Linked DNA regions of Macaca fascicularis. The protein of the gene in region 1 purifies or fractionates together with the protein of each later gene. This does not show direct contact. Links are inferred from orthologs where the notes say so. Each region holds a gene or a part of one and is shown in the gene's direction. Other genes may lie near its edges. The genes, in order: MAP3K7, USP18, XIAP, CARD11, PELI3, FKBP5 and RIPK1.

Region 1 (5,182 bases):
TTTTAGACTGGCATCAATATCAGAAGTCCAAATCAGTGGATAAAACACAGAAGTGTTGGGGTAGAAGATATTCAAAATCATGTAATCAATTCACTTCGAAATGCATCTAGCAAAATGGTAGATGGATGTAAATACGGATGAATGGAGAGATGCACATATGTATATTATGATAAACATTCTTTCAACCTTTCTCTATATTTGACATTTTTGTAACAAAATTTTGGGGAAAAATAATCAAGCAGGAGAACTGCATCATGGCTGTAGTAATTAGCCCTTTGTCAAGATTCCAGTCCTAAACTGAAGGTACAGAAAACATGTCTTATACTCCAGGGAAAGGGAGGACTGACAAAAGCTATTCATTTGTACAGAATATGTAAGTATTTATTGAGTTCCCACCTGGCAGCAAGATCAAGGTGTTAAAGGGAAATCAGATATAGACCTGCAGTTATAGCACAAGGTAAGAAGTGACCATCCTTGTTTGGAAATGCAAGGGGAATGACAGGTGAAAATGACTGTGCCACTGATTAAATCAGCTTATATTGGGTATCAGTGCACCACACATCATTTCACATGCCCTGACTTCTCAGACAACCAACTGGGTGATGGCATCCTTACGTGATATAGGAAAATCACATAGAAATATATTTGTGGTGGGTGACAACTTTTGAATTTGCTGTGGTATCTTGAAGTTTAGTTGTTTATCTAAATAGAGATGTCCAATAGGTCCAGAATTCAGGAAAAATCTTGAGTATTCGGAGATTAGAAGTCATCATTATAAAAATGGTATGAGAAACAGAGACCTTGGGTAAGATCATGCAAACAAAGAGTGTACAGTGGAAAGAAATTATTGCTTCTTTCATTTTTTTATCCACTCATCAAACTGTCATTGCGAGTCACTAGAACTGTGAATAAAAAGTGACAGAACGTTTCCAAGAAGTTTGTAACTTCTTGATGGTCAAATCCAATGATCTAGTTGCAATCCCAAATGTGTTTAACATAATTCTGTACAGCATATACTTGGTTGGCTACTTCTTCATTGGAAAGCTCACCTCTGGTGATGTTCCAATTACTATTTTCCTCACTTCCTCCTTTCAGTCTCTTACTGAAACTTAGAATTTGACATTCGCAGGAATCCATCCTTGGTCTTTAAATCTTCATCTCTAACTCCAATTTTCCACAGTTAGGCTTTATGTCAAACGGACTATATAAAGTTCAACAGTTAGTTTAAAACTAAAACTTGTGCTGGTAGTACAACATGAGCAATACTGACCATCTTGGGGACAGATTGATCTAGTTTGTAAGGACCATAATTGCTTTAAACTCTGAGTGTATTTTCTCACGTCCTGAAAATGGTGATGAAAATATTTGATTTTCAAGGAGACTGTTGATGATTCATTTACCAATCTAAAGCACTAGTGCCCCGCACTCGTAATCCATAACTTGAGATGAACACACCAAAGTGTAAATATCTTATCCACCTAATCTGTGTAAAGTTTGTAACACCAAAATATTAACTTCTGTTTTTGATCACTCAGCCTCCATAGTTATTCATGTTGCATGATCTGATTCGCTCTTTTAGAATTTCTCATAGCGTCAGGGACTAGCTCAAAGTAACAGGAGCAACTGCTTCCTTCCATATCCCACATTGAGGAAAACACATTTTGCAAGCCGTCTTAAAGAAACAGGTCAACTTAGTTGAGGGATGAAACTTAAAAGCAAGCTTCGTCACAAAAAACACAGTTCAACACCACCTCGCCCGTCTGCTGGCAGCTCAAAGGAGAGAAAGAGAGGCCAAGACATACTTCACACAGCAGAGACTAAACGCCAGCTTTTATCTTTCCCGCTGGTCCTTAAGGGACCAACCGTGCTGATTTTCCGTCATGTTCCGCGCCACTTCCGTTCGCGCACTTTAATTACGTCAGGCGTCCTCTCTCGCGGTATCATCCGGTTGCTGAGGCCCTGTAATAAAGGTCTCGCGAAATTTGTTCTAGAGGTCCAAGCTTGCTTCTTAGTTTACTCCACCCCACCCCCAACCTGTCCCTCCTTTTCTTTCCAAGTCACAAAATTCTCCCCTTCCCTCCCCCGGAGTTTACGGCCCACCTCCTGTTTCCGATTTCAGCCCGGAACCGGAAGTGTAGTGGGCGGGGCCCAGCGGCGGAAAACGCAGCGGAGCCAGATCCGGACCCGGCTGTGGCCGCTGCCGCTATCCCCGCCACGGATCGCCGGGTAGCAGGACTGCGCGGCTCCAGCCTGAGGGTCGGTCCGGAGGCGGGTGGGCGTGGATCTCACCCGGATTGTCCGGGCGGCACCGCTCCCGGCCCCACCGGGCGCCGCGAGGGATCATGTCTACAGCCTCTGCCGCCTCCTCCTCCTCCTCGTCTTCGGCCGGTGAGATGATCGAAGCCCCTTCTCAAGTCCTCAACTTTGAAGAGATCGACTACAAGGAAATCGAGGTGGAAGAGGTGAGCGAGGCCCTGCATGGAGACGCCGGTACCGGCCCGGCCCGCCCCTGCCTCTGTCTGGTCCCGGCTCTGAAGGTGCCTCCCCGGCCCCTCTAATTCGCGGGACCCTGTGGGGTCCACCCGGGAGACCCAACAGCCTTCACTGACGTGGGAGTGGGGGTTACTCTCTGAGCTCAACTGCTTGGGAGTAGCTGCCTTTTTTCCTGTCTTGAGTACTCTTGCTTTTGGATTTGATATTCCGGTGATAAACAGGAGAATGAACTGGTGAGACAGTGTGGTCCTCCAGTTCTCGTATCTGTAAGTAGTAGTTTCAGCGAAGATCGTAGCCGTTCTGGAGTTTCAGTCCGCTGGACGTGAAGTTCTTAATGGCCAATAATTGTATTATGTTCGACTTCTACTTCAGTATCTGGCATGTAGGGGATGCTCAATAAATGCTTGTTAAATTAGTAGATCATCAAGTCTAATAAAGTGTTTCCCTTAGCATCGAATGGTTCTCAGTTTCTCCGATACCGCACAGCAATACTCGTAATGTTTAAACGCTCGGCTTTCAGTTGGGCTAACGTAGGTGAATTTCACCATAAGTAACACAGACTGGTCTACGATCAAAAGATGTTTCAAGTAGCATATTCTGAAGAGATAACGAATGATCGGTGACAATCAGAATATAACATTAGACTGGAAATCGCTATCAGAAAACCCATATCCTTTCTTTATTCTGCAGTAATTCATTTTAGAACAAGCTATTTCAAAGTGACTTTAAAGTGTTGCTTTTCAGATTAACAGAGAGGTAAATTGGGTTCTAATGACTATAAAATTTAGAAAAGTAAAAGCTGCATATATATTTTTTAAAGAGACTTTAGAACTTGTTAAAAACTTTGGCTGAAAATACTATATCTTACCATTTATTTGCCGTTTTTTTAATTTATTAAGCACTTGCGTTATATATCCCGTGAAAAACCTAGTGAAATATTATAGATTGTCAACAAGTTATGTCTACTTTAAAATTCTAAAATTATTTTTAAGTGTCAGCAAGTTCGAAGTAGTGAGATAACGTTCAACAAATAAATTTTTTTTTCCTGTGCATGTTTTGGAAGAGTAATGGATTACTGAATTATATACTTTTTATCACATAAAGTAACTTTAGAGATCATTGAGAACATCCTCATTTTACAAGATAATATGGTGGGAAAAGCAAGGTCTTTGGAATTAGAGGAAAGTTCAATGTATCAGATATGCCATTATTAGCTGTGTGATTTGGGGCAAGTTTCCTAACCCCTTTGAATTTTAGTTTTAGAAAGGGCTAATAAATTCTGTTTCATCTTATCTGCATAACAGATCTTAGTAGACATTATATGCAAAACACCTACCACAGGGCCTGACACATATTAGGAAACCTAGTTCCAGAGAGGAAATGTGACCTGCTTTAAGGTCACATGGCTAAAAGAAGACCTGTATTTTGAAAAGAGGGGGGAATGTTTTTAAGTTTTTTTTTTTTACATTGAGGCTATGATAAATTCCTTTTCCAGAAGTGGATAGTTGATCCAACTTTCATGGCTAATATTCTTTTTTAAGAATAAAAATTCCATGAGTCAGTATACAAGAATTGCAGTTTTTAAATAAGCGTTTACGTCTCCTCTGTGGTGAATTGCTATGCTTGTAGACTACAAATTGTTATATAATAATAACTTGTGCTTTATGGTCTACCAAATGCTTTCACAAACTTACTTCATTTGGTTCTTACAACCTTAGTTTTTGTATGCTACTTTCTAAAGCTTTTTACATTCTTGATTCATGGAAAAACAAATTACTAAGGAGGTAGTTATCATTTTGATGTTCTTCCCCTAAAGCTATTTCACTTCTGGTTAGGTTTCTGTGTTTCCAAGACCCTTCTCTCAATTTAGATAATGTTTCAATCTTTGTGTGTATGTGGGTGTGCGTGTGTTTAGGACATTTCTGGGGAGTAGGATTTTGTTTTTAGACGAAAATTTGTTTTTAATATTAGGCAGTCATTTGGGTTTTTTGTTTGTTTTATTCCCCTTCATTTTTAATACTCAGTTCATTTTTGCATTAAAGATTGTATTTGGATCTTTCTGATATTGAAAGCATTACATAATTTCCATCATGTTCTTCATTTGCATACATTAAACCAGTGTTACACAATCCAGAGTGAACCAAGGACACTTATTAGCTATTTGTCAACTTAGATTACACTTCCAGTTCAGTTGTAAGATAACAGAGGAAGATGACCAGAAACAAAAACTACTTTATGTTGCTTTCAATATTTTATATTGTATGAGAATATTACCTTCTAAATTAAGAAAATCATATTATGTATTTCTCAATATAATTGAATTGCATTATATCAATATAATTAGAAACTGTAAAAAAAAATAATTCAACCACAGGCCAAATATGCAATCATTTAGTAGATACATATTTCTAAGACATCAGCTGATCTTGCATTTCTAATATTGTAACTCAATAGTATTAGTTTGTCACATCTTAGATTCAGTTCAGTTCAATCAAATTAGGTAAAGTCTCAGCCTCAGAAATCTGCCTAGGTACTTTTTAAAAGTCATTTAGTGTTTACCATCTAGATCTGGCTGTAAAGAATATTGGAATAAAAGAGGGGATGGGTTGCAAGAAGTGTTACACAGGGTGGTATAGTGGAAAGTGTTCTGGACTGAAAATTAGAAAATGTAGATGCTGTACTGATTCTG
Region 2 (3,599 bases), on another chromosome or scaffold:
GGCTCCGCCTCCCGGGTTTATGCCATTTTCCTGCCTCAGCCTCCTGAGTAGCTGGGACTACAGGCGCCCGCCACCACGCCCGGCTAATTTTTTGTATTGTTAGTAGAGACGGGGTTTCACCATGGTCTCGATCTCCTGACTTTGTGATCTGCCCGCCTCGGCCTCCCAAAGTGCTGGGATTACAGGCGTGAGCCACTGCGCCCGGCTCTTTTACTTCTTTTGACATGGTTTTCTTTAATTCTTTGAACATATTATAACAGCTAAAGTCTTTGTTTAGTAAAGCCAACATCTAGGGCTTCTCAGTGAAAGGTTCTACTGATTGCTGTCTTCCTGTATGTGGCCATACTTTTCCGTTTCATTGTGTGTCTTGTCTCTTTTGTTGGAAAATGAACATTTTAGATGATGTAAGGTGGCAACACTGGACATCAGAGATGCCCACACCAGGGTTTGTTGTTGTTGCTGTTTTATTGTTACTGGGCAGTTTATGATTCTGTATTTGCCTTCATTGTTTTCTTGCACGTGGCCTTGTGGTCAGCCAGAGGGGAGGGATTGGAGCCCTTTCGGGTCTTACTTGGGCATGCGCCTGGCCTTCTAGATCCTCAGGAATGTATCAGTGCTTTTCAGAGTCCCTGTGGACATCTCATTCCCCAGGCTGAGTGCAGTGGTGACATCACATCTCACTGTAGCCTCAACATCCTGGGCTCAAGTGATCCTCCTGCTTCAGCCTCCCAAGTAGCTCTGACTACAGGTGTGCACCACTATGCTCAACTAATTTTTAAAATTTTTTATAGAGACAGAGTCTTGCTTTGTTGCCCAGGCTGGTCTCAAACTCCTGAGTTCAAGCGATCCTCCTGCCTTGGCATCCTGAAGTGTTAAGATTATAGGCATGAGTCACTACACCTGGCACTGGAGCTTAAGTTTCAAGAGGCGTTCTCAAAAATCAATACCAAACTTACTGTTCGTTTATTGATCACCTCTTATATAGTGCCAACTTAGCCTTGCAGTGGGGTGGAGGGCTAGGAAGAGACAAAATGGTGAGTATTCATGTATGTCTAGATACTAGGGCATGAGAAGTGACTCTGAAGACCTCACTAATTGGCTGTTCCTTTTCTCTGTGGCTAGTGTTTGTCCAGCATGATGCCGCCCAACTCTACCTCAAACTCTGGAACCTGATCAAGGACCAGATCACTGATGTGCACTTGGTAAGAACCTAGAACCAGAGCACTCGGAAGCTTAAGATGCTGCTCATTTAACTCATTCAGCTGTTGTTCCTGTAGTGTGTAGAGGAATAAGAGAGTTAATCCACATAAAACACTTATCACAGTTTCATAATATTGTTACTGGTAATATTTTGCACCTTTGTGAGTAGGCCAAAGAGCATTAGTGGCTACCATTTCTAGAGCTTCTGTCTCTTGGCTCCACCTTCTTGCAATTGGCCTGACCTGGCTTATGGTGCTGTTCCCATCTCACCTCTCTGCTCTCCCTCTTGCAGGTGGAGAGGCTGCAGGCCCTGTATATGATCCGGGTGAAGGACTCCTTGATTTGCCTCGACTGTGCCATGGAGAGTAGCAGAAACAGCAGCATGCTTACCCTTCCACTGTCTCTTTTTGATGTGAACTCAAAGCCCCTGAAGACACTGGTAAGGGGATTCTCTTGGTATTTGCTGCCCCCATATGTGTTAGTCCATTTCTGTTGTGATAACTCAATATCTGAGACTAGGTAATTTATTTCTTACAGTTCTGGAGGCTGGGAAGTCTTGGTTGAGGGGCTGCACCTAGTGAGGGCCCGCCTGCTGGTGGGGACTCTCAGAGTCCTGAGGTGAGGCAGTGCAGGGCATCACATGGCGAGTGCAGTGCAGGGCATCACATGGCGAGGGGGCTGAGCGTGCTAATGTGCCGCCAGCTGGAGTCTCTCTTCCTATTCATATGAAGCCACCAGTCCCACTCCCAGGATAACCCATTAACCCTTTAATCCATGAGTGGATTAATTCATTCATGAAGGCTGTGCCCCTCATGACACAATAACCCCCGCTTTTTTTTTGGAGACAGAGTCTTCCTCTGTCACCCAGGCTGAAGTGCAGTGGCACAATCTCAGCTCACTGCAACCTCCGCCTCTGCTGTTCAAGCGATTCTCCTGCCTCAGCCTCCCAAGTAGCTGGGATTACAGGGGCCCGCCACCATGCCCAGCTAATTTCTGTATCCTTAGTAGAGTTGGAGTTTCACCATGTTGGCCAGGCTGGTCTGAAACTCCTGACTTCAAGCGATCCACCTGCTTCAGCCTCCCTGGGATTACAGGCATGAGCCACCTTGCCCTCCCCAATTATCTCTCAAAGGCCCCACCTTTCCATACAGCCACATTGGGGATTCAGTTTCAACATGGGTTTTGGGGAAACCATCGAACCACACAACACAGTGTGACCAACTCCCCCTTGCCTCATCTCTGGCTTCTGAAAAGTCACTTATTTCATTTTCATGGCTCTGGCCAGTTTCTCCTTTGTTTTGGCAAAAATGCTTTTCCCTCCTACCTCCACCTCCCTCATACTGCTCCCTTAGTAGGAGCCCCATCCTGTTTTGTTCCTCCAGTCAGCAGGTGCCGTTTGAGATCCTGCCAAATGGACCACACCAGGCCAGGCATTAAGGGGGATATGAGGAGAACCAGAAGAAAAGCTGAAACCCTCAGCTGCAAAGTGTGGGGAGGCTGTACCTGATACAGTTTGGGTCTGTGTCCCTGCCCAAAAATCTCCTGTTCAGTTGTAATCCCCAGTGTTGGAGGTAAAGTCTGGTGGAAGGAGATTGGACCATGGGGGAGGTTTTCTCCTGAATGGTTTGGCACTATCCCCCATGGTACTGTCTTTGTGACAGTGAGTGAGTTCTCATGAGATCTGGTTGTTTAAAAGTGTGGCGCCATGGCCGGGCCTGGTGGCTCAAGCCTGTAATCCCAGCACTTTGGGAGGCCGAGACGGGTGGATCACGAGGTCAGGAGATCGAGACCATCCTGGCTAACACGATGAAACCCCGTCTCTACTAAAAAATACAAAAAACTAGCCAGGCGAGGTGGCGGGCGCCTGTAGTCCCAGCTACTTGGGAGGCTGAGGCAGGAGAATGGCGTGAACCTGGGAGGCGGAGCTTGCAGTGAGCTGAGATCCAGCCGCTGCGCTCCAGCCTGGGCGACAGAGCCAGACTCCGTCTCAAAAAAAAAAAAAAAAAAAAAAAAAAAAAAGGTGTGGAGCCAGGGTGGGTGGTGCCTGTAATCCCAGCACTTTGGGAGGCTGAGGTGGGTCGATCACCTGAGGTCAGGAGTTTGAGACCAGCCTGGCCAACATGATAAAACCCTGTCTCTACTAAAAATACAAAAATTAGCTGGGCATGGTGGTGCAGCCTGTAGTCCCAGCTACTTGGGAGGCTGAGGCAGGAGAATCGCTTAAACCCAGGAGGTGGAGGTTGCAGTGAGTTGAGATCTCACCACTGCACTCCAGCTCCCCACTCGCTCTCTACCTACTTCTCCCATGTAAGACGCCTGCTCCTGCTTGGCCTTCCGCCATGACTGGGAGCTTCCGTGGCCTCCCCAGAAGCAGATGCTGCCATGCTTCTGGTCAGCCT
Region 3 (4,399 bases), on another chromosome or scaffold:
TCTTTTTTTTTTTTTTTTTTAGACGGAGTCTTGCTCGATCGCCCAGGCTACAGTGCAGTGGCATGATCTCGGCTCACTGCAACCTCTGCCTCCCAGGTTCACGCCATTCTCCTGCCTCAGCCTTCCGAGTAGCCGGGACTACAGGCGCCCATCACTATGCTTGGCTAATTTTTTTTTGTATTTTTAGTAGAGACGGGGTTTCACTGTGTTAGGATGGTCTCGATCTCCTGACCTTGTGAACCGCCCGCCTCAGCCTCCCAAAGTGCTGGGATTACAAGTGTGAGCCACCATGCCTGGCCCAGAGTTGTGTTTTTTTTTGTTTGTTTGTTTGTTTTGAGACGGAGTCTTTGGTCTGTCACCCAGGCTGGAGTGCAGTGGCGCGATCTTGGCTCACTGCAAGCTCCGCCTCCTGGGCTCACGCCATTCTCCTGCCTCAGCCTCCCGAGTAGCTGGGACTACAGGCGCCCGCTACCACGCCCAGCTAATTTTTTGTATTTTTAGTAGAGACGGGGTTTCACCGTGTTAGCCAGGATGGTCTCGATCTCCTGACCTTGTGATCCGCCCGTCTCGGCCTCCCAAAGTGCTGGGATTACAGGCGTGAGCCACCGCGCCCAGCAAGAGTTTTTTTTTTTTTTTTATCAAAACACACATCTTAAGTTACTTTCCTACCGTAAAAATATATTTTGTTATTTACTATATATGTTCTTTATACTCGAATCTCTATATCTCTTCCTTTCCAGCCTCCTCTATTTATTTACTTATTTATTTATTTAGATAGCATCTCGCTCTGTCGCCAAGGCTGGAGTGCCATGGTGCAGTCTTGGCTCACTGCAGCCTTCGCCTCCCAGGCTCACAGTATCTTCCAGTCTTAGCCTGCAGAGTAGCTGGGACCACAGGCGTGTGCTGCCATACCCAGCTGATTTTTATATTTTTTACAGAGACAGGGTTTTGAACTCCTAGGCTCAAGCTATCTGCCTATCTTAGCCTCCTGAAATGCTGGGACTACAGATGTGAGCCACCATGCCCAGCCTTATGTTTTATTTTTATTTTTTAATAGAGACAGGGTCACACTTTGTTGACCAGGGTGGTTTCAAACAGCAGACCTCAAAGAATCCCCCTGTCTTGGCCTCCCCAAAGTGCTGGGATTACAGGTATGAGCCACTGCACCCGGCCTCCTCTCTTTCAAAAAAACATTTATTGAGCTATAATATACATATAGTAGCCAGGTGTGGTGGCTCACGCCTGTAATTCCAGCACTTTGGGAGGTCGAGGAGGGTAGATCACAAGGTCAGGAATTTGAGACCAGCTTGGCCAATATAGTGAAACCCCGTCTCTACTAAAAATACAAAAAGCCGGGTGTGGTGGTACATGTCTGTAATCCCAGCTACTCGAGAGGCTGAGGCAGGAGAATTGCTTGAACCTGGGAGGCAGAGGTTGCAGTGAACCGAGATCACACCATTACACTCTGGCCTGAGTGACAGAGTGAGACTCTGTCTCAAAAAAAAAAAAAAATATATAGATATATATATGTATGTATGTATATATACACACACACACATACAGTAAAGTGCTTAAAGTACCCTAATCATAAGTTTTCTACTTGATGAATTTTAACGTATGTATGTTAAAATATATATTAAATAAAATATGTGTTAAATATATATTAAAATGTGTCTGTTAAAATATATATATTTATCTGTGTAACTATCCCCCAGATTAAGACATAGAACATTTCCACAACCCTAGAAAGCTCTTTCATGCTCCTTCCCCATCAGTACGCACCCCCAAGTTACATTCTGGCTTCTATTACCATAGATTCATTTTGTTTATTACCATAGATTAGTTTTGAAGTTCTTATAAATGGACTCATGCAGTAGGTACTCTTGTGTCATAATGATGAATTATGATTCTGGTTTGCTCGTTATATCTATGAGATTCATCCATATTGTCTGTGGCAATAGTTTTTTTTCTTGCTGTGTAGCTTATGAATATACCACACAATCTATTCACCTGATGATGGACATTTGAGTTGTTTCCAGTTTGGGGCTATTATAAATAACACTGCTATGAATATTCCTGTGCATATCTTTGGCAGAGATATACACTCATTTTTAATACCCAAGAGTGGAATTGATGAGTCAGAGGGTATAAGTGTCCTCTCTTAGCACTTCCCTACACATGCTGTGTTCCTACTTTGAGTATCATAAAAACAGGTTTCCATTGACTTTCTTGCTTTATCCAGTCCTACCCGCTCTACTACAGAAATGAAGTTTGAGAGCTAGGAAATTGACATGTTCAAGGTTATAGACTGGGATTTCCCTAATTTACCATCATTTTCCCCAAATAATTGCTAGTGACTCAGTAACAACATCCACTCTTTAAGTACCTTAGGTTAATTGTTAAAGAGTACAGCTAGATTTAAAAAAGTTCAGATTTTTGAAGCACTTAACCTTTTTCTTGCCTGTTTTACCTTGCATCGTTTCAAACACTACAAAATACATACTCATTGCATTTACAATTAATTGTAAGATTCTGAAAGTGATTTTTCAGTGCCTGAATACTTCAAAAAATCTTCCCAAAGCAGCTTTGCTTTGCTGGTTTGTTTTTGTTCTTTTGCTTGCTGCTGAATTTTTTCATTTTAACTATATTTTGCTATTGAGTTGTGATAATGAAAATAATTGTTTAAATTCTATGTTCTTTTTCCTCACCAATTTTTATTTCAGATGATACCATCTTCCAAAATCCTATGGTACAAGAAGCTATACGAATGGGGTTCAGTTTCAAGGACATTAAGAAAATAATGGAGGAAAAAATTCAGATATCTGGGAGCAACTATAAATCACTTGAGGTTCTGGTTGCAGATCTAGTGAATGCTCAGAAAGACAGTACGCAAGATGAGTCAAGTCAGACTTCATTACAGAAAGGTATGCATTGCTGTTTTTAAAAAGCAAGAAAGGGCCGGATGTGGTGGCTCACACCTGTAATCCCAGCACTTTGGGAGGCTGGGGATATGGACATTTTTTAAACATAACCTTAATGCTTTGTGTTAGTCTGCTCAAGCTGCTATAATAAAATTCCATTGACTAGGTGTCTTAAACAACAGACTTATTTCTGACAGTTTCGGAGGCTCCAAAATCAAGGTGCTGGCCGATTTCGTTATTGATGAGGGCCCTCTTCCTGCCTTGCAGATGGCTGCCTTCTCACTGTGTCCTCACATGGCATGGGTTGGGGGTGGATGGGACAAGATGGAGCAAGTACTCTGGTCTCTTTTCCTCTACTTTTAGGGACACTAATCCCATCATGGGGGTCTCATCTTCATGACCTCATCCAAACTTAATTAGTTCCCAAAGGCCTCATTTCCAAATATCATTACATTAATCATGGAAAAAAGATTAAAAATATGAATTCTACCAGCCTGGGCAACATAATGAAACTGTCTCTACAAAAAATACAAAAATTAGCCGGGCATGGTGGTGTGTGCCAGTAGTCCCAGCTACCTGGGAAGCTGAGCGGGGAAGATCACCTGAGCCAGGGAGATCAAGGCTGCAGTGAGCTATGATCATGCCACTGCACTTCAGCCTGGGCAGCTGAGCGAGATCTTGTCTCAAAATATATATATATCTCCTTTAAGGATGATGGACACTATAGTGCTTGCCAACAACATCGAAGGTTAAAGAAGAGGTTTCAAACTGAGTACACTTTTGGGTACTATACCTGTAATAGTTCTCTAAGCTCTTGACTATCCTCCCTCCAAAAAGATGAGAATTCTCCTACTGCTAATAAACTTAAACATTTACTTATTTTTGACACATTTAAAATCCTTGTGATCTTTAAGATATTTCAAGTGCTTTTGAAACATTATTCAGATAATTACTTAAGTTATGAAACAGTATGAACATTAATGATATTTAAAATTATATTCATTGATGTAAGAATCAATGGAAAGCTTCCAGTTTTTCCCTTATAGATGCATTTATTTAAAACTTACACAGGCTCCACTTATCTTGGTGGTGGTAAAATAAACCCTTTACTTGGTCATCTTTCTTTCTTTATTTTTTTTAAGACGGAGTCTCACTCTGTCACCCAGGCTGGAGTGCAGTGGCACGATCTCAGCTCACTGCAACCTCTGCCTCCCCGGCTCAAGCAATTCTCCTGCCTCACCCTTCCGAGTAGCTGGAATTACAGGCATGCGCCACCACGCCCGGCTAATTTTTTGTATCTTTATTAGAGGCAGGGTTTCTCCCAGTTGGCCAGACTAGAATTTTTCTACTATAACAGAAATACAAGCAATTGTGTCATTTTTTTCCTGCATCTTAAACACGCGCTTAATTAAGTTTGGCCATAAGTTATTAGCTTTCAAACCTTAATGTGTCTGCAGCAGAAAGATTTAGCAGGTTGT
Region 4 (4,399 bases), on another chromosome or scaffold:
TCCCCACCAGGAGCGGCTGCCTGGTATTTAAGGCTCTCTTTCGGAGCCGAGGGTGAACCCAGCTTCACCAGAACAGATTCCTCAGTATTTCAGGGACAGCATCTAAAAAGCCGATCCAGCTTCCCTTTGCTGTCACCTGTGAAGTGTTCTAGGTGCACCAGTTGCTTCTCTGCGCTCTAATAAGTGCCAGGGAGAACAAAAGGCCCAGGATACTCCCAAGCAGAAGCCAGTTTTCTGCTTCTTTCCAGGCAATAAACTTCTTAAATGATAAGCTTCTTAGAGACCTCAAGGGACATACATCTCTTCTTGCCTCTACCTTCCAGACACAAAACCTTCTGCTCTGTCCGTGTCTGTTGCTGGCTCTTCTGTCCCCCACCTTCCAGGACCACCTGGCTCCCCACCCCGACCCTGACCCTGTTAAACCTCCTCCCTCCCACCCAGGCTGGAAAGCGCAGCCTGCCAGACTCCGACAAGGCCATCCTGGACATCCTGGAACACGACCGCAAGGAGGCCCTGGAGGACCGGCAGGAGCTGGTCAACAGGATCTACAACCTGCAGGAGGAGGCCCGCCAGGCGGAGGAGCTGCGGGACAAGGTGGGAGCGGGGAGCGCCTGCCCAGCAGTGCCCTTGGCCCGCCCCCTTCACACCAGGGGGCAGTGGTGTGTGTCAGCAGGACCTCCCTGACCCCACACTCCTTTCCGGGGACTAGGTCAGACCCCTGGCATAAATCCCCTGTACTTCCCAGTATTCAGCCCCTGGCAGGAGCTGCAGTTTATCAACCTGATGAGGGCCTGGGGGCAGGAGCAATGTGGGCAGAGGAGACGGTGAGGGCTTGGGATTGGGGGAACCAACATACTTGCCAATGTGTGAGTCTCAGAGCCTCACCCACACCTTGCAGATTGCAGGATCCCAGATGTGTCGGCCACCCTTGGGCATTTATAAGCTATTGCACCAGCTGAGCACCAGTGTCCCCCTCCTGATTGAGACCACACTATCCTCCCATACATTACCTGGTCTGTAGTGGGTTCATGACAATGCCAAGTTCATTGGTCCCCTACCTTGAGCCCCAGTGGTCAGATAGCCAGTTCTCAGAAGGGCAGGCCATGTCCTGACCATGCCAGCTTAGGGAGGGACAGGCCAGCTCCAGCCAGCCGGCGGGAAGGCACGAGCGGAGAACAGCTTTCAACCCTGACCTATTGATTCCTTGATGCACGTATTGATTTCTCTGTGTTGTTCACAGTACCTGGAGGAGAAGGAGGACCTGGAGCTCAAGTGCTCGACCCTGGGGAAGGACTGTGAAATGTATAAGCACCGGATGAATACGGTCATGCTGCAGCTGGAGGAGGTGGAGCGGGAGCGGGACCAGGTACAGGCACCACCTGCAGCATGCAGGGCGGCAAGACTGCACAGCGGGGCCCACACCCCAGGCCACGGGGTCCTTCAGAGTGTTTTGTCCAGTGCAATGTCACTGACAATGCAGGGATCACTCCTGAATCCATCTTTCCCATTTCTGTTCCAACGATGAATTCTATCCCAAAAGGCTTTTGGAAGTCACAGGCATTTGGGTATCAGGGGGCTCTGAGCTGAGCTCCAGCAGCTCCCACAACCAAGCATGGTTCTTAAATGTTGTCTGTTCTCTCGGGTGAGAGGATGGGTTCAGATCCAGCCCTGTCATTCATAAGGTGTATGCCACCCTGACCTCAGTGCCCTCATCTGTAAAATGAGGAAAATTACGGTAGCACCACCTCATAGGGACAGGCCGTGGCCTTCCAGGGATACTGCATCAAATCTCTCAACACGGAGCCTGCCACTAGCAAGGGTCGAACCATCGGCTCTGTGATCGTGTTATTGAAGAAGGCAGTGACTGACACACCCAGGAGTCAGGCTGCAGATGAGAGTCACAGACGATGTGGCTGGCCCCTGGGTTGGGGATGATGCCTGTCCCTGGGCCCAGCTGGAGTTGACTGGGGTGCGGCCCCCAAAGCAGCCTTTGTCCTGCTTCTTCTCCCCGGCAGGCCTTCCACTCCCGAGACGAAGCCCAGACACAGTACTCGCAGTGCTTAATCGAAAAGGACAAGTACAGGAAGCAGATCCGTGAGCTGGAGGAGAAGAACGACGAGATGAGGATCGAGATGGTGCGGCGGGAGGCCTGCATCGTCAACCTGGAAAGCAAGCTCCGGCGCCTCTCCAAGGACAGCAACAACCTGGACCAGGTGGGCTGGGACAGGCAGGGCTCACGTCTGAAGCCAGGTGCCCCATGGCGCCCACTGAGGGCTGTGGCCAGTCGCCGCCTCCCCGTGGGGCCCCACATCTGAAGGCAGGTGCCCCCTGGCGCCCACTGAGGGCTGTGGCCAGTTGCCACCTCCCAGTGCAATGAATGGCTCCTTGTCCTTTGTTTAGTTTTGTTTTGTTTTTGAGACGGAGTCTTGCTCTGTTGCCCAGGCTGGAATGCAGTGGCACCATCACAGCTCACTGCAGCTTCAAACTCCTGGGCTCAAGCCATCCTCCCACTTCAGCCTCCCGGGTAACGGGACTAAAGGCACACACCACCATGCCTGACTAATTTTGTATTTTTTTATACAGACAAGGTCTCACTGTTTCCCAGGCTGGTCTTAAACTCCTATCCTCAAGCGATCCTCCCGCTTCAGCCTCCCAAAGTGCTAGACTTACAGCCATGAGCCACTGTGCCCGGTCGGCCCTTCATATTTTTGAAGCCAGAAGTTCCCTCCCACACCCAGCATAATCCACATCTTTTAGTCTTGTGTTTGTGTCTGTTTAGTGATGAGTAGAAGCCACTCATTTTGAAGTTAGAAGATGCAGGGTAGGGCTGGGCACAGTGGTTCATGCCTCTAATCTCAGCATTTTGGGAGGCTGAGGTGGGAGGATCGCTTTAGGACAGGAGTTCAAGACCAGTCTGGGCAACAGAGTGAAAATTTTTTTTAATTTAAAAAATTAAAATTAAAAACATAAATAAGAAGATGCAGGGGGCTGGACGCGATGGCTCATGCCTGTAATCCCAGCACTTTGGGAGGCTGAGGCGGGTGGATCATGAGGTCAGGAGTTCGAGACCAGCCTGACCAACATAGTGAAACCCCGTCTTTACTAAAAATACAAAAAAATTAGCTAGATATGGTGGTGTGTGCCTGTACTCCCAGCTCCTCGGGAGGCTGAGGCAGGAGAATTGCTTGACCCCAGAAGGCAGAGGTTGCAGTGAGCCGAGATTTTGCCACTGCACTCCAGCCTGGTGACAGAGCAAACCTTCGTCTCAAAAAACAAAAAGAAGAAGATGCAGGGTCAAGCCTGACCCAGCCACTTCCTGGCTGAGCAGCCTCCCCGCTTAGGAGCCTCAGTGCCCTCTCAGTTGACCACAGCCAGCTGCTGGCCTCCTACTAGGGTTCCCCCGCACACCTGAACGGTCACTGGGTTTAAGACACCCTGCGGTCATTAGGGTTCCTAGTGCCTGTGAGTAAACCCTCATTTATCGACAATGTGAATTGCAGAGTGCATTTCCCAGCAGTGCCCCAGGCACTGAGAAGTGAAGGAATGCCTCCTCCAGGGTAGATGTTATCACTTTTATAGCTGTGGGTTTACTGAGCGCAGTCACGTGCAGGTGCCACGCAACGTGCCCCCTGCGCGTTACCTCATTTACCCCACAGAACTGTCCTGCATGGAAAGCACATGCTCAGTGTCCTCATTTACAAAAGAAGGGACCCTGACTGGGTGCGGTGGCTGAGGCCTGTAATCCCAGCACTTTGGGAGGACCCGCATTCCCGGCTGCAGTTACAGCGTGAATACAGGCCTGGCACGTAGCCCATCGTGCTGCCAGCAGGCCGTGTCCGGCACTTCCACCGTCTGCAGAGTGGGAGTCAAGGACCAGCAGGCGGGTAATGAGATGCGCCAAGGTGGGCTGTGCGTACCCAGGAGTGTTCCGCTGCTATTCTGAGTCCCTGAAGGATTTTGCACAGGGAGTGGGACAAGACGCTTTGAGTTTGGAGGCAGCGCAGCATGAGGGTGCCATGTGGCTTTGCGGGCCACGTAGTTCCTTCATGCCACAGCACTCCGCTCCCTATTTTGTAAAAGGTGGTGATCAACAACAACCTCCACTTGTCAGGAAGGGATTCAATGAAGTGGCAGCTATGAAGCACTCCAGACAGTACCTAGCACTGTTTTTGTTCTTAACATCATTCAGTCATTCTGAATATTTTTTATATTGTTAGCTCAGGCACTAGAGCTAGAATTGGCTAGAAATGGGAATTTCTAGAAAATTCTAGAAATCAGGGCTAGAAATTGGAAATGTAATGGGGGCAGATGAGATGTAAGGGGTTGAGGCCGGTCAGGAGGCAACGCCTTTACATTGTACAGGAAGACCGGGGCTTGCTTGGGAGACCGGACCAGAAGC
Region 5 (4,399 bases), on another chromosome or scaffold:
TTTTATTTTTGAGACGGAGTCTCGCTCTGTTGCCCAGGCTGGAGTGCAGTGGCCGGATCTCAGCTCACTGCAAGCTCCGCCTCCCATGTTCATGCCATTCTCCTGCCTCAGCCTTCCCGAGTAGCTGGGACTACAGGCGCCCGCCACCTCGCCCGGCTAGTTTTTTGTATTTTTTAGTAGAGACGGGGTTTCACCGTTTTAGCCAGGATGGTCTCGATCTCCTGACCTCGTGATCCACCCCATCTCGGCCTCCCAAAGTGCTGGGATTACAGGCTTGAGCCACCGTGCCCGGCCAAGATTATTTTTTTAAAATGGCTGTTTGTTGACATGTGCTTTTTTTACCAAAAAAAAAAAAAAAAAAGCAGTAATAGAAAATAAAAAAAAGCACTTATCAAGGGCTTCCTATAAATATGCCAAACTCTGTGCTAAGCACTTTTAAATGCTTTGTCTCATTTAGTTCTCAAAATGAACCTGCGGGGTAGGTCCTAAAAAATTAGCTCCATTTTACAGAGGTCATGTGATAAGTGGAAGAGCCAGATTTAAGCCAGGCCCATCTGTGTCCCAAGTCTGTGTCCTGAACTGCCCCACCTCGGGGCCTGCCCACCCCCGCCCCTGATGTGTGGGAAGAGCTCACAAGGGCAAAAGTGATGTCTCCCTTGGGAGAGCTTGCCTTGAAAAAGCAGCTGCTTTGTATCCCAAAGGCAGGACTGGCTTTCCAGCCCAAGGCAAGGCCACTAATGTGGGAGGCTGCAGACCCACGGGTATGGGCCCTCCTGGCAGCCCCTTTGCACAGCAGAGTCCACATTGGCTGCACATCAGAGCTGGCTGGAGGGCACTGAAAATACACATTGACAGGCCCTCTCCAAGCCTACAGAATCACAGTCACAATGGGTGGGACCAAGGAATCTGGATTTTTTTTTTTTTCTTTTTGCGGCAGGGGAGACAGGGTCTTGCTCTGTCGCCCAGGCTGGAGTTCAGTGTCACGATCTTAGCTCGCTGCAACCTCCACCTCCTGGGTTCAAGTGATTTTCCTGCCTCAGCTTCCTGAGTAGCTGGGATTACAGGCACCCACCACCATGCCTGGCTAGTTTTTGTATTTTTGGTAAAGACGGGGTTTCGCTATATTGGCCAGGCTGGTCTTGAACTCCTGACCTCAAGTGATCTGCCCACCTTGGTCTCCCAAAGTGCTGGGATTACAGTTGTGAGCCACTGCGCCTGGCCTCATCTGGATTTTAACAAACTCACTAGAAGATTCTGATTCAAGTGGCCTTGTCTGTATTTGGCAGCTCTTTGTCCTGTCACTTCCTGTTCCCAAACCTTCCTGGCACCCCACTGGTTACAAAATAATGTCCTCAGCCTGGAGTTCAGAGCCCTCCCACCAGCATCATCTCCCCCACATACTTCACCACCAAAGTCACCATTCCCTGATCTCATCAGATCCTGCCAGCCTTGGGCCCTTTGCTTAGGGTGAGCCTCCATCTAGAGGTGCTTCTGGAGTCAGAGAGACTGGGCTCGAATCTGGACATTTTCACCTACTAGCCAGAGGCAAGTCACTTTACCTCCCTGAGCCTTGATTTCTCTCATTTGTAAGATGGGCAGAAAGCCACTTGCCTGGCAGGCCACTGCACAGATTCCATTAGGTGATTGATAACATGAAGGCCAGGAACACGGAGGCAGCAGCCCATGGCAGCGATGAGAGCTATGACTCACCTCCTCTGTGCCTCTCACAGCCATCCCTTCCGGACAAGAGATGGAAAGGCAGGTGGAAATTGGACATGTGTGGATATATAGAGGTAGTGGCATTGTGGGTCAGTTTTTCCTTTCGTTTTGGTTTTGAGTAGTGGTGTGATAAGTGACAATTTGCTACAGGTGAACCCTTTCTAGTTCTTCAAAACCCAGTAGAGGTGTTCCCTCTCCCAGAAACCTCATGCTAGGGCCAGAATTCCCTTTTCTTCCTCTAGGCTTATGGCATCCTTGACTTGTGCCTGGGTGTGGCAGGTGGCACCTAGGTTCCTGGAGAAGCTGAGGAACCCCTCCACTGAGGGCCCACAGCTGACCCGTGGTGCGTCACCTCTACTGCCCCAGTGCACAGCACCCATCCAGGCATGGCTCAAGTGTCCAGGAAATACTTGGTTAACTGAATGAAAGTGCTTTTGAAACTGTTCTGACACCCCCTGCCCACTCCCCAAGGTACCGATTTGTTATTGTAGGGTCTTCTAGTTTCAGGTGCTTCTAGAGCTTGTTTATTAAGGTAGGATCTGCCCAGAAGTTGGCAGTTTCCCCCAAGTTTCATCAGGGGTTCACTTTCCCTCTTTCTCTTTCTCCTCTTACAACCCTTTCTTCTTGACCTCCAACATCTACAGCTACAATGGGTGTCTGGCAAGTGGGGACAAGGGCCGCCGGCGAAGCCGCCTGGCACTGAGCCGCCGTCCGCATGCCAACGGAGTGAAGCCAGATGTCATGCACCACATCTCCACGCCGCTCGTCTCCAAGGCAAGCAACTGACCTGTAGACCTGAGGTCCTGCCCTCCCTGCCCAAGGCCCAGGTCTTTGGCCTTCCAGGTCCTACCTGCCCACAGCCCCCCACCTTAACAGGGGAGCCCACTTTGTGTCATCACTCACTGCGTATTGGGCCACCTGAGAATGGTGATGAAAAATCCTTTGCAGTGTGCACAGTTCTTTACAGTTTGCACAATGTTTCCTTAACTACCAGACCTTTCTGAACCTTGGCTGCCTCTAAAATGGTGCTGCTTATTTCCATCCAATGGAAATGGGTGGAAATGAGCTGCGCCATCTTAGAGGCAGCCAAGGTTCAGAGAGTGGGAGGTGACAGTCATACTGCAATGGTAAAGGAAAAAACCTTTGGCTTTAGAGGATTTGGGTTAGAATTCAGCCTCTGATATTTCCAGCTGTGTGTCTTTAGGGCAGTTTCTCTGTGACCTGCAGTTCCTTCAACTCTAAAATGGAACGATAACCCCATTCTTTTTTTTTTTTTTTTGAGACGGAATCTCGTTGTCACCCAGGCTGGAGTGCAGTGGTGCAATCTCAGCTCACTGCAATCTCCACCTCCTGGGTTCACACCATTCTCCTGCCTCAGCCTCCCAAGTAGCTGGGACTACAGGTGCGCACCACCATGCCCAGCTAATTTTTTTTTTTTTTGTATTTTTAGTAGAGACGGGGTTTTGCTATGTTGGCTAGGCTGGTCTTGAACTCCTGACCTCAAGTGATCTGCCCACCTCGGCCTCCCAAAGTGCTGGCATTACAGGCGTGAGCCACTGCGCCCAGCCTGATAACCCCATTCTTAAGGTGATTGTAGGGCTTAAATCATGTGACACACCCGCTGCACTGTCCACCCTCTGCGAAGGATGGAGCTGCCCCCTTTCTGGAGAGTGGCTGCTGGGCCTTGAGCTCCAGCTGCTGGCTCCAGGCTTACACTTATCATAGCTGCACACCCTGGCAAGTGACTTTTTTCTCCCCCCAGGCACTGAGTAACCGTGGTCAGCACAGCATCTCGTACACGCTGTCCCGGAGCCACTCGGTCATAGTGGAGTATACACATGATAGCGACACAGACATGTTCCAGGTATGCTCAGGCCTCTCCACACACCTCCTGGCCACCAGGCCTCTAGGCTCTGCAAGCATTTCAGGTGAGGCTACAGGATGGGAGGCCATGGGAAAGTTGCTTCCCTCCAGACGAGGAAGCAGGATGTCCCAGTGTGGGCTGTTGACTGCAGAGTCACACAGCAAGCCAGTGGCTGTATCAAGGATCAAACTCAAGACTCCTAGACGGTGGGAGTTCACACAGCTCAGGGGTTCAGGTGTGAGAGGCCTAATGCCTGTGTTCAGATTTTGGCTCCATCACTTACCACTGGGTGACTTTGGGGAAGTATCACTTAAGTTCTGTGGGCCTTGGTTTACTCATCTGTAAAATGAGGCCCATAATAGTACCCACCCCACAGGAAGATTAACTTAGGCATTGCACATAAAATGTTTAGCATGGTGGCTGGCATATGGCAAATAGTTACTCAGAAGTTGCTATGTGCTGCTAACATTTGACCACCCTCTTATAATTCTATCAGCAAATCAACTTGTATTTATTGAATGGGGTGATCCCTAGTGCTGTGGGGGCAACAGAGAAGGAGAAGCTGCTCCAGGCAATGGCTTCTTGGACTTGGAGACCCCACCTGGGAGCCTAGAAGGTCTAAGGAGTTGGTGCTGCCCCCTTCTTAGGGCCTGGCAGCCTCCTTTTTTGGTGACCTTGCATACAGAGCAGCTGCCGGAACTGTGGGTGGGGAGGCCTATGAGAGTCCCCTATGTACATGCAGTCGCTGCTTGCTTTCCCTGTCCTCACAGATTGGCCGCTCCACAGAGAACATGATTGACTTCGTGGTAACAGACA
Region 6 (4,399 bases), about 51 Mb from region 1:
TACACAAAAGACACTACACTTAGAAATAAAGAATCTGGTCCATGGTGTGAGTGTGACATACTCAAAATTGACCAGAATGCAGGATGGAAATGTTGGCAATAAATGTTGAAATATGCCTATGTCAAGTTGCAGGGTATTTTCATATTATAAAGGTTTATATGTCACAGATCTCACTTCTCTAGAAGTGTTTGATGGTGATAAAACATTATTCAACCTGTGTTGAAATTACATATATTTGGCAAAACTTGATTTTTAAGAACTACCCCAGCTAGGTAAAATATACCTTTAATCAGTCACAGGCCACATTCATGAAATTTATGTTTACATTTTGAGAAGGGAACTCCATAAATCCAGGGTGGGAAAGTTGTGGCCTCAGACAAACTGTTCTACACCAGCACCTTGTAAAGCTCTGGGTTTTTGCCCACAGGGTAGTGTTCCTAGTATTTCCTGTCTTTGCACCGCAGTCCCTTAGGATATAGTCCTAGACATTATCATTATGTGAAATTCTTTCCAAGTATGGAAAAGTATAGTGGGTTTTTTGTTTTTTTTTTTGCTACTTTTCCAATAATTAAGATGCATAAATGAATGTATACATTTTGAAACAGCTTTATTTTGTAAAATGAAATAATTGGTTGCCCTTGCCTTCACATATGTTAAATTGGCTTTATTTGGTCTTTTCTCATCTGAATTCCTTTTTTCTTTCTAGATTGAGCTCCTTGATTTCAAAGGAGAGGACTTATTTGAAGATGGAGGCATTATCCGGAGAACCAAACGGAAAGGAGAGGGATATTCAAATCCAAACGAAGGAGCAACAGTAGAAAGTAAGTATTAAAGTAAGAGGGAACTAGTCCTTAAAAGTTGGACCATTTATGTGGACGAAATGGAGACTTAAAAAAAATATGTTTATGGAAATGAACATATCGGCTGGGCGTGGTGACTCACGCCTTTAATCCCAGCACTTTGGGAGGTGGAGGCGGGCGGATTGCCTGAGCTCAGGAGTTTGAGACCAGCCTGGCCAGCATGGCGAAACCCCATCTCTACTAAAAATACAAAAAACTAGCCAGACGTGGTGGTGCATGCCTGTAATCCCAGCTCCTTGGGAGACTGATGCACAAGAATCACTTGAACCGGGGAGGTGGGGGTTGCAGTGAGCCAAGATGGTGCTACTGCACTCCAGCCTGGGTGACAGAGCGAGACTCTGCCTCAGAAAAAAAAAAAAGTATTGAATATATCTCAAAGATAGTCTTAGCCGGGCACAGTGGCTCACGCCTGTAATTCCAGCACTTTGGGAGGCTAAGGCAGGAGGATCTCTTGAGCTTAGGAATGCGGCAGCAGCCAGGGCAACATAGTGAGGCCCCATCTCTACTAAAAAGCATCAAGAGAATTAGTCAAGTGTGGTGACACGTCCCTGTAGTCCCAGCTACTTGGGAGGCTGAGGTGGAAGAATCACTTGAGCTCTGGAGATCAACGCTACAGCAGAGAGCCGTGATTGTGCCATTGGCTCCGGCCTGGACAACAGCAAGATTCTGTGGGAAAAAAAAAAAAAAAAAAAGTCCGGGCGTGGTGGCTCGCGCCTGTAATCCCAGCACTTTGGGAGGCCAAGGCGGGCGGATCACGAGGTCAGGAGGTCAAGACTAGCCTGCCTAACACTGGGAAAGCCGTCTCTACTAAAAGTACAAAATATTAACCAGGCATGGTGGAGGGTGCCTATAGTCCCAGCTACCCGGGAGGCTGAGGCAGGAGAATGGCGTGAACCTGGGAGGCAGAGCTTGCAGTGAGCCGAGATGGCGCCACTGCACTCCAGCCTGGGAGACAGCGAGACTCTGTCTCAAAAAAAAAAAAAAAGAATAGTTTCAGATTCAACATTTATTTAATAATTTTATTTAGTAAACATTAATTCAACATGTGTGCCAGGCATGCTACCAGCCTCTACAAACTCAAAAATGAATACAAAGTAATTCCATCCACAAGAAATTCTCAATCTATGGACTCTTTGGTGTGCCAGCAACTATATTTGTTGCCTGATATATTTGTTCGTTTATTTCTCACAGCCTTAAGAGGTAAAATTTCCTGTCCCCAGATAAGAAAAGTTAATTCAGAGATCTTAAATAAATTGCCCAGGGTTACAGAGTTACTAAACAGAGCAGTAGATTATAATCCTCTTTAGGACTCAAATCCATCTCATCAGCTGTCATCAAGATAAAAAATAGTTCATCATTTAGATCAATATTGGATAATAATGTTCATTCTATTCCCTATCAGTAGACCTAGGTTCAAGTCCTGCTTTGGTGTTTATTGAGTAACCTGAAGCTTTTCCGTTTCTTCATTTGCTAAGTGGGAGAAGGGGCATCTCTGAGGACTGAGATAGCTAACTCTTCTTCCCTCCCAGAGCAAATTATATATACCACTGTGTATACTACTTGTCACTTTACATTGTAATCAGTATTTGCCCATTTATCCCAATATACTATGAGTGCTTGAGGACCAGAATCTTTCTTCATCCTTTTGTTTTCAGCATTACCTGCAGTGCCTGACACACATTTGGTGTTCAGTAAAGGCTTTCTTCATAGATAAATGCTTGAGAAGTGTCATTAGTGAGCTGAAATCCTTCAAAAGAGAGTTGTGAGAAAACAGAGAAATACTTCCATTAAGAACAAAAATCAAATCATTCAACAAGGATGGGAACATGAACTATTATAAAAGTTCTGTTTAAAATAAAGATTTCAAAAAGCTAGGTGTAATGGTGTACACCTGTTGTCCCAGCTACTTGGGAGGCTGAGATGGGAGGATCACTAGAGGCCAGGAGTTCGAGGCTATAGCATGCTATGATTACACCGGTGAATAGCCAGTGCACTCTAGCCTAGGCACCATAGTGAGACCTTGACTTTAAAAAAAAAAAAAAGTAAAATAGAGTTCATTTAAACAGAAAACAAGAATAGCTGAGTTTCTTATATTTAAAGTATATACTATTTTCGGCCCATATTTCACTTCTACGAGTTTGGAAAGTCAGTTAAAATTCTGTTGTTTTGGGAAGCAGTTACAAATATTACTTATCCCAAATTGTCATTTAAGATAAGTTTTAGAATACATGAAGAGCTTTAAATGTAGAATATCAGGGAAGTAGCTCCAGACTAGGAGTTGGGAGATAGGGTTCCAGCCTCAGCCCTGGTCTCAGGCTGGCTCCAACTAGACCTCACCTCTGGGCATTAGCATCCTTCCTATGCAGTGAGGCAAGGTGGAACCGCTTAATTTTTAAGGTCCTACTAGCCCTAAAACTCCATCATAGAATTCTAAACATTTACAAAAGTTGTAGGAGTGATAGAAAATCATCTTCACTATATTAGTAAGCACTTAAGCTTGTCTATAATGTGTATTTTAAATTTTTATTATGAAAAATTTCAAATGTATATACAAAGGTAGAGGTTTACTCCTATGGATATAGGAACTCCCTAGATTCAGTAATTTATATTTTTTAACTGGAGGGTTTTGTCAACTAAGAGGGAAAACTTTTCCCAATTATGGACAATACCACAACATTACTACTGTGGAGACAACTTTAGAGCAGACTAAATTAAATCAAATCTTGCTTTTGGTAATCCTTGTGATGGGAGTCAATTTTTTTTAACTTTTTGTTTTGAAATAATTTTAGAATTACAGAAAAGTTGCGCAACTAGTATACAGTGTTCCCTTATATGCCTCACACAGCTTCCTCTAAATGTTAACATCTTACCTAATCACAGTACATTTATCAAAATCAGGAAGTTAACATTGATGTAGTACCAGTAACTGTTTTCCAGATCTTATTTGAATTTCACCAGTTACTACACTACTGTCGTTTTCTGGTCTAAGATCAAACTCAAGATCCAGCATTGTATTTACTTTTTTTTTTTTTTTTTTTTTTTTAGATGGAGTCTTGCTCTCTCACCTAGGCTGGAGTGCAGTGACGTAATCTCAGCTCACTGCAACCTCCACCTCCTGGGTTCAAGCAATTCTCCTGTCTCAGCCTCCCAAGTAGCTGGAACTATAGGCGCACGCCACCATGCCTGACTAATTTTTAATTTTTTTTAGAGACATGGTTTCACCATGTTGTTCAGGCTGGTCTTGAACTCTTGACCTCGGGTGATCCACCTGCCTCAGCCTCCCAAAGTGCTGGGATTACAGGCATGAGCCACCGCACCCGGCCTACTCTACTATTTTGAATACAACTGACCATTTTGTAGAAAATCCCTCAGTTTGGGTTTCTGGGATGTTTTTAATTAGATTGAGGTTATGCATTTTTTGAAAATACCACTGAAGTGATGTTGTACCTTTCATCATTATCAAGAGGTACATGATACTGATGTCTCATTACTGGTGATGTTACCTTGGAACACTGGGTTAAGGTGGGAAACCATGTTTC
Region 7 (4,399 bases), about 85 Mb from region 1:
TTGCAAATAAGGAGCCATATGAAAGTAAGGCATTAGAGGAGTGGGGTTTGATATGAACCAACACTGCCATATGAAGTAATGGGCTTCAGTGAAATCAGTTAAGGTTTATAATTGTTTATTCTTTTAATGTCAGTCTTGCTTGCTAAACTGTGAGTTCCGTGAGGGCAAGGACCATATCTGATTTATCCTCTGCTGTCTCCTCAGCATCTACACTCACTGTGCCTGGAACTAATAGGTGCCCAGTAAATTTTTGTTGAATGAATGAGTAATCCCATTTAGGAATCAGTGATCATAGGATGAATAGGACTCTTGATAACGTGTCATTAGCTTGAGAGATGCTGTAAAATTCCAGGGTTCTTCCTAGACAGGAAAGTTGATTGTTTCTGCTTGTGAGGACTTAGTCTTTCACACTACAAGGCATACACTTCATACTTTCACTCATTCACTTACTCCTTCATTCAAGAATTCTTTCTTTTCAGTCCCTACTGTGGGCACTTTAGTCGGCACCGGGAATATAAAGATGAGTAAGTCGTGGCTTGTGTAGGAGAACAGAGACACTCTTCAGTTTGTTAAGTGCATAAACTAATGGATGTTTCCCTACATACTCATCTTGGGTGATCATCAGCTCCCGTGGTTTGATGATCATCTCTTTGCAAATGCTTCTTAAATCTGTGTCTCTGGCTCTGGCCTGGATATCCACTTGTCTTATGGTCAGATCCATTGCAGGCACCAAAGGAACCTCCAAAGCAGCATCCCCCAAACACACCCATCTTGTCGACACTGTCCTGCAGCTCGCCCTGCTTCACTCCTCTTCATATGCTCAGGAAGTGGCATGGCCATCCTTTTACCAAGTTGCCCAATAAGAAACCTTAGAGTCATCCCAGACTTGCCCTTGCCTCTCTCTCCCACATTCTATCAGATCTCAAAACCTATGAATTCAAGATATATATATGACTCAAGATATATCTGCAACCCATCTGCCTCTCTCTGTCCCCACTGGCCTCTGCTTAGTTCAAACCCTCACTGTTTCTGCGGCAGGCTCCTTCCACTGTCCACCATTCATGTGGCAGCCAAAATGGTCGTCCTAAAAGGCACATGTGACCCTTTCCCTCACATACTGGAAATCCTTCCCAGATGCTCCATGGTGTTCAGGATGAAGTTCGAATTCCTTAGTGTGGAATATTCTGGCCTTTGCTTCTCTACTGGCCTCATCCCTGACCCTCCCTTCTTTGTCAGTTAGACTGAGTGAGGAATTTCTGGGATGTGTCATGATCTCTGTGACTTCTAGTCTGTTGATATCCTGCTTCTCTTGCCTGGAGTTCTCCTCCTTAAGTCCCCCTTTCCCATTCTTTACCTGCTAATTTTTCTGGACTCAACAAAGCCTTCCTGGATCTTTTTAGTCAGGGTTGTGCTACTGGAGCCCCTTGTACATTCTTTTTTTTTTTTTTTTTTTTCCTTCTAAGACGGAATCTCACTCTGTCACCAGGCTGGATTGCAGTGGCGCAGTCTCAGCTCACTGCAATCTCCACCTCCCAGGTTCAAGCAATTCTCTTGCCGCAGCCTCCCGAGTAGCTGGGACTACAGGTGTGCACCACCACGCCCAGCTAATTTTTGTATTTTTAGTAGAGATGGGGTTTCACCATGTTGGCCAGGATGGTCTTGATCTCTTGACCTCGTGATCTGCCTGTCTCAACCTCCCAAAGTGCTGGGATTACAGGCATGAGCCACCGTGCCCAGCCCCATCCTTTTTGAATAGCAATGATCACTCTTGTGTTTTAAGTCACTCTCATTAACTTGAGCTCCTAAAGGCAAGGACTGTCCCATATTTGCCTTTGCACATGGAGCGTGCCACTGGCCTTGCCCACATAATCTCTGTTCCATCAGCAGGTAGCTTTGTTGAGAATTTTGTTTTATCTGCAGACATTAAGCTATTGTTTGGTCATCTCTGTAGTGGAATATGTCAGACAAAGAGCTGACATATTCCACTCTATAGAATGAGGCAGCCGTACCACAGGCATACCAGAGGCTGAAAAAAATGAGCAGTATTGTTCAAGTTCTGTCACCTTCCTGCCTGAGAGAGGAGCAAGACCTGAAAGTCTCAACCTCAGCTCCTCTTTGCTTTACAGATGCTATCTGTGAGCAGCAGCTGATAATGTGCATAAAATCGGGGAACAGGCCAGATGTGGACGACATCATTGAGTACTGCCCAAGAGAAATTATCAGCCTCATGAAGCTGTGCTGGGAAGCGAATCCAGAAGCTCGGCCGACATTTCCTGGTAAGAGCATCTTTTCTGACTGTGTAGGATGCATCCTGTGTGGTGATTTTCCCAGTAAGATGTTGTTAGGAACTTGGTTTGAATCCTCAGAAAACTGAGTTCAACTTTACTTGTGGTTTTAAACTGATTTTCTAGATTTCAAACATGTTGTTCAGTGCAAAGAAGCCATCTCTCAAAAGCATGAAGGCACATAAGGCCTTCTTGTTTCCTTTTTTTGTAACTAACTTTTTAACTTGGGTTTAAATATACATAACTTTCAAATTAACATTGTAACTGTTTTCAAGTGCACTGTTCAGGGGCAGTAAGTACAGTCCCACAGTACGTTCACTCTCCATCATCTCTCTCCCTGCCCCGGCAACCCCCATCCTACTTTCTGTCTCTACGAATTTAACTGCACTGGGTACCGTATATAAGTGGAACCATACAATGTTTGTCCTTTTGTGTCTGGCTGATTCCACCTGGCATGATGTCCTCGAGGTTCATCTGTGTTGTAGCAGATGTCAGAATTTCTTTCCTTTTCAAGGCTGAATAATATTCCATTGTATGAATAGACTGCATTTCGTTTCTCCATTCATCCGTGTATGGGCTTTCACCAGCCTTCTTTGCTTCTTCACCTCTTTTATTTCCATCCCCTCCCTTGTTTAGCTGGCATCTTTAGAAAGTATTTTGCCATTTAGACTGGCCCTGTCATACAGGGATGGGGAAAGGTGCCTGGATGTTTGCTGAGCAGTATTCTATGGTGTGGATGTACCACAGTTTAACTATTCACTCCTTGAAAGACTTGTTTCCAGTTCTTAACTGTTGGGACTAAAGCAGCTGTAAATATTCATGTACATGTTTTTGTGTGAATATAAGTCTTCATTTCTCTGGAATACCAAGGAGTGCAGTAGCTAGGTTGTATGGTAGTTTCATGTACAGTTTATTTAAAAAATTCCCAAACATTTTCCCAGAGGGGCTGTGCCATTTTATATTCGGTGTCTGCGTGATGCAGGTTCTTGCATCCTCACCAGCATTGGGTACCCAGGCTACTCACACTTCTGCTCAGCCAACTACAAATTTATTTGAGTATTCCCACAAGCCCCACTTCAGGTCTGGGAATTCATTAGAAAGACTCACAGAACTCAAGAAAACATTTTACTTATGTCTCCCCTTTTACTGTACTGGGTACAATTCAGAAACAGCCAAATGGAAGAGGTGTACAAGGTGAGGTATGGGAGGAGGGTGTACAGAGCTTCCACAGCCTTTCAGGACACACCACGTTCTGGTGCTTCTATGTGTTCAGCAACCTGAAGCTCTCCACACCTTCCCATTTAAGGTGATTTATGGAAGTTCCATTACATACGCATGATTGATTAAATCATGGTCATTGGTGCTTGAGCTTAATCTCCAGTCCCTCTCTCCTCACTGGAAGTCAAAGGTGGAGCTCAAAGTCCCAACCTTCTAATTATAGCTTGGTCTTTCTGGTTGCTAGCCCCCATTCTGAAGCTGCTTAGTTTTCTGACCCCACCCAAAAGACACTCTTAGAAGACTCCAAGGATTTTAGGTGCTACCTGCCATGAACAAAACCAGACCTTTCTGATTCTCCAAGGTGTCTTATTTTATTGTTTCCTTTCTGTTTAGGGAACTTTCCTTAATCATTCTTTTAGGATATGTCTGAACTCTGTCATTCCAAATTTTTTTTCCTTATAGGTAAGGTGTTATTTTTCTCTTGCTGCTTTCAAGACTTTGCCTTTATTTTTCAGAGATTTAGTTATTTGTCTTGGTGTGGATTCCTTTGGGTTTATTCTGTTTAGGTTTTGCTCAGCTTCTTGAATCTGTAGGTTTATGCCTCTTACCATATCTGGGAAGCTTTTGGCCATTATTTCTGTAAGTACTTTTTAGCCCCCACTCTCTTTCTCTTTTCCTTCTGGAACTGTGACAACAAAAACTGTATCTTTGGTTATAGTCCCACAGGTCCCTGAGGCTTTCTATTTTTTTTTTTTTTCCCAGTTAATTTCCTCTCTCTTGTTCAGACTGGATAATTTTATCATTCTGTCTTCCAGTTCACTGATTTTTCTGTTTCTCCTTGATTCCACAGTTGAACCATCTACTGAGCCTTTTTTTTTTTTTTTTTTTGAGATGGA

What was found.
Region 2: the proteins of MAP3K7 (region 1) and USP18 purify together in Homo sapiens (affinity purification with western blotting; 4 studies listed by BioGRID, with this or other methods). This does not show direct contact. The link is inferred for Macaca fascicularis from reciprocal best matches to the Homo sapiens genes MAP3K7 and USP18.
Region 3: the proteins of MAP3K7 (region 1) and XIAP purify together in Homo sapiens (affinity purification with western blotting; 3 studies listed by BioGRID). This does not show direct contact. The link is inferred for Macaca fascicularis from reciprocal best matches to the Homo sapiens genes MAP3K7 and XIAP.
Region 4: the proteins of MAP3K7 (region 1) and CARD11 purify together in Homo sapiens (affinity purification with western blotting; 3 studies listed by BioGRID). This does not show direct contact. The link is inferred for Macaca fascicularis from reciprocal best matches to the Homo sapiens genes MAP3K7 and CARD11.
Region 5: the proteins of MAP3K7 (region 1) and PELI3 purify together in Homo sapiens (affinity purification with western blotting; 3 studies listed by BioGRID and IntAct, with this or other methods). This does not show direct contact. The link is inferred for Macaca fascicularis from reciprocal best matches to the Homo sapiens genes MAP3K7 and PELI3.
Region 6: the proteins of MAP3K7 (region 1) and FKBP5 purify together in Homo sapiens (affinity purification with mass spectrometry; 4 studies listed by BioGRID and IntAct, with this or other methods). This does not show direct contact. The link is inferred for Macaca fascicularis from reciprocal best matches to the Homo sapiens genes MAP3K7 and FKBP5.
Region 7: the proteins of MAP3K7 (region 1) and RIPK1 purify together in Homo sapiens (affinity purification with western blotting; 5 studies listed by BioGRID, with this or other methods). This does not show direct contact. The link is inferred for Macaca fascicularis from reciprocal best matches to the Homo sapiens genes MAP3K7 and RIPK1.

Annotation. Positions count from the first base shown.
Region 1 is NC_088378.1:84,781,263-84,786,444, forward strand, and holds the start of MAP3K7 (mitogen-activated protein kinase kinase kinase 7), read left to right. Parts: upstream 1-2,134; 5' UTR 2,135-2,342; coding exon 2,343-2,462; intron 2,463-5,182. UniProt on the Homo sapiens protein: Serine/threonine kinase which acts as an essential component of the MAP kinase signal transduction pathway. Plays an important role in the cascades of cellular responses evoked by changes in the environment.
Region 2 is NC_088384.1:34,026,815-34,030,413, reverse strand, and holds part of USP18 (ubl carboxyl-terminal hydrolase 18), read left to right. Parts: intron 1-1,122; coding exon 1,123-1,202; intron 1,203-1,492; coding exon 1,493-1,639; intron 1,640-3,599. UniProt on the Homo sapiens protein: Interferon-induced ISG15-specific protease that plays a crucial role for maintaining a proper balance of ISG15-conjugated proteins in cells. Regulates protein ISGylation by efficiently cleaving ISG15 conjugates linked via isopeptide bonds.
Region 3 is NC_088395.1:130,130,054-130,134,452, forward strand, and holds part of XIAP (E3 ubiquitin-protein ligase XIAP), read left to right. Parts: intron 1-2,723; coding exon 2,724-2,924; intron 2,925-4,399.
Region 4 is NC_088377.1:36,472,877-36,477,275, reverse strand, and holds part of CARD11 (caspase recruitment domain-containing protein 11), read left to right. Parts: intron 1-441; coding exon 442-594; intron 595-1,240; coding exon 1,241-1,366; intron 1,367-2,015; coding exon 2,016-2,213; intron 2,214-4,399. UniProt on the Homo sapiens protein: Adapter protein that plays a key role in adaptive immune response by transducing the activation of NF-kappa-B downstream of T-cell receptor (TCR) and B-cell receptor (BCR) engagement.
Region 5 is NC_088388.1:7,921,911-7,926,309, reverse strand, and holds part of PELI3 (E3 ubiquitin-protein ligase pellino homolog 3), read left to right. Parts: intron 1-2,363; coding exon 2,364-2,493; intron 2,494-3,481; coding exon 3,482-3,583; intron 3,584-4,353; coding exon 4,354-4,399. UniProt on the Homo sapiens protein: E3 ubiquitin ligase catalyzing the covalent attachment of ubiquitin moieties onto substrate proteins. Involved in the TLR and IL-1 signaling pathways via interaction with the complex containing IRAK kinases and TRAF6.
Region 6 is NC_088378.1:136,068,533-136,072,931, forward strand, and holds part of FKBP5 (peptidyl-prolyl cis-trans isomerase FKBP5), read left to right. Parts: intron 1-706; coding exon 707-821; intron 822-4,399. UniProt on the Homo sapiens protein: Immunophilin protein with PPIase and co-chaperone activities. Component of unligated steroid receptors heterocomplexes through interaction with heat-shock protein 90 (HSP90).
Region 7 is NC_088378.1:169,978,242-169,982,640, reverse strand, and holds part of RIPK1 (receptor-interacting serine/threonine-protein kinase 1), read left to right. Parts: coding exon 1-24; intron 25-2,126; coding exon 2,127-2,276; intron 2,277-4,399. UniProt on the Homo sapiens protein: Serine-threonine kinase which is a key regulator of TNF-mediated apoptosis, necroptosis and inflammatory pathways.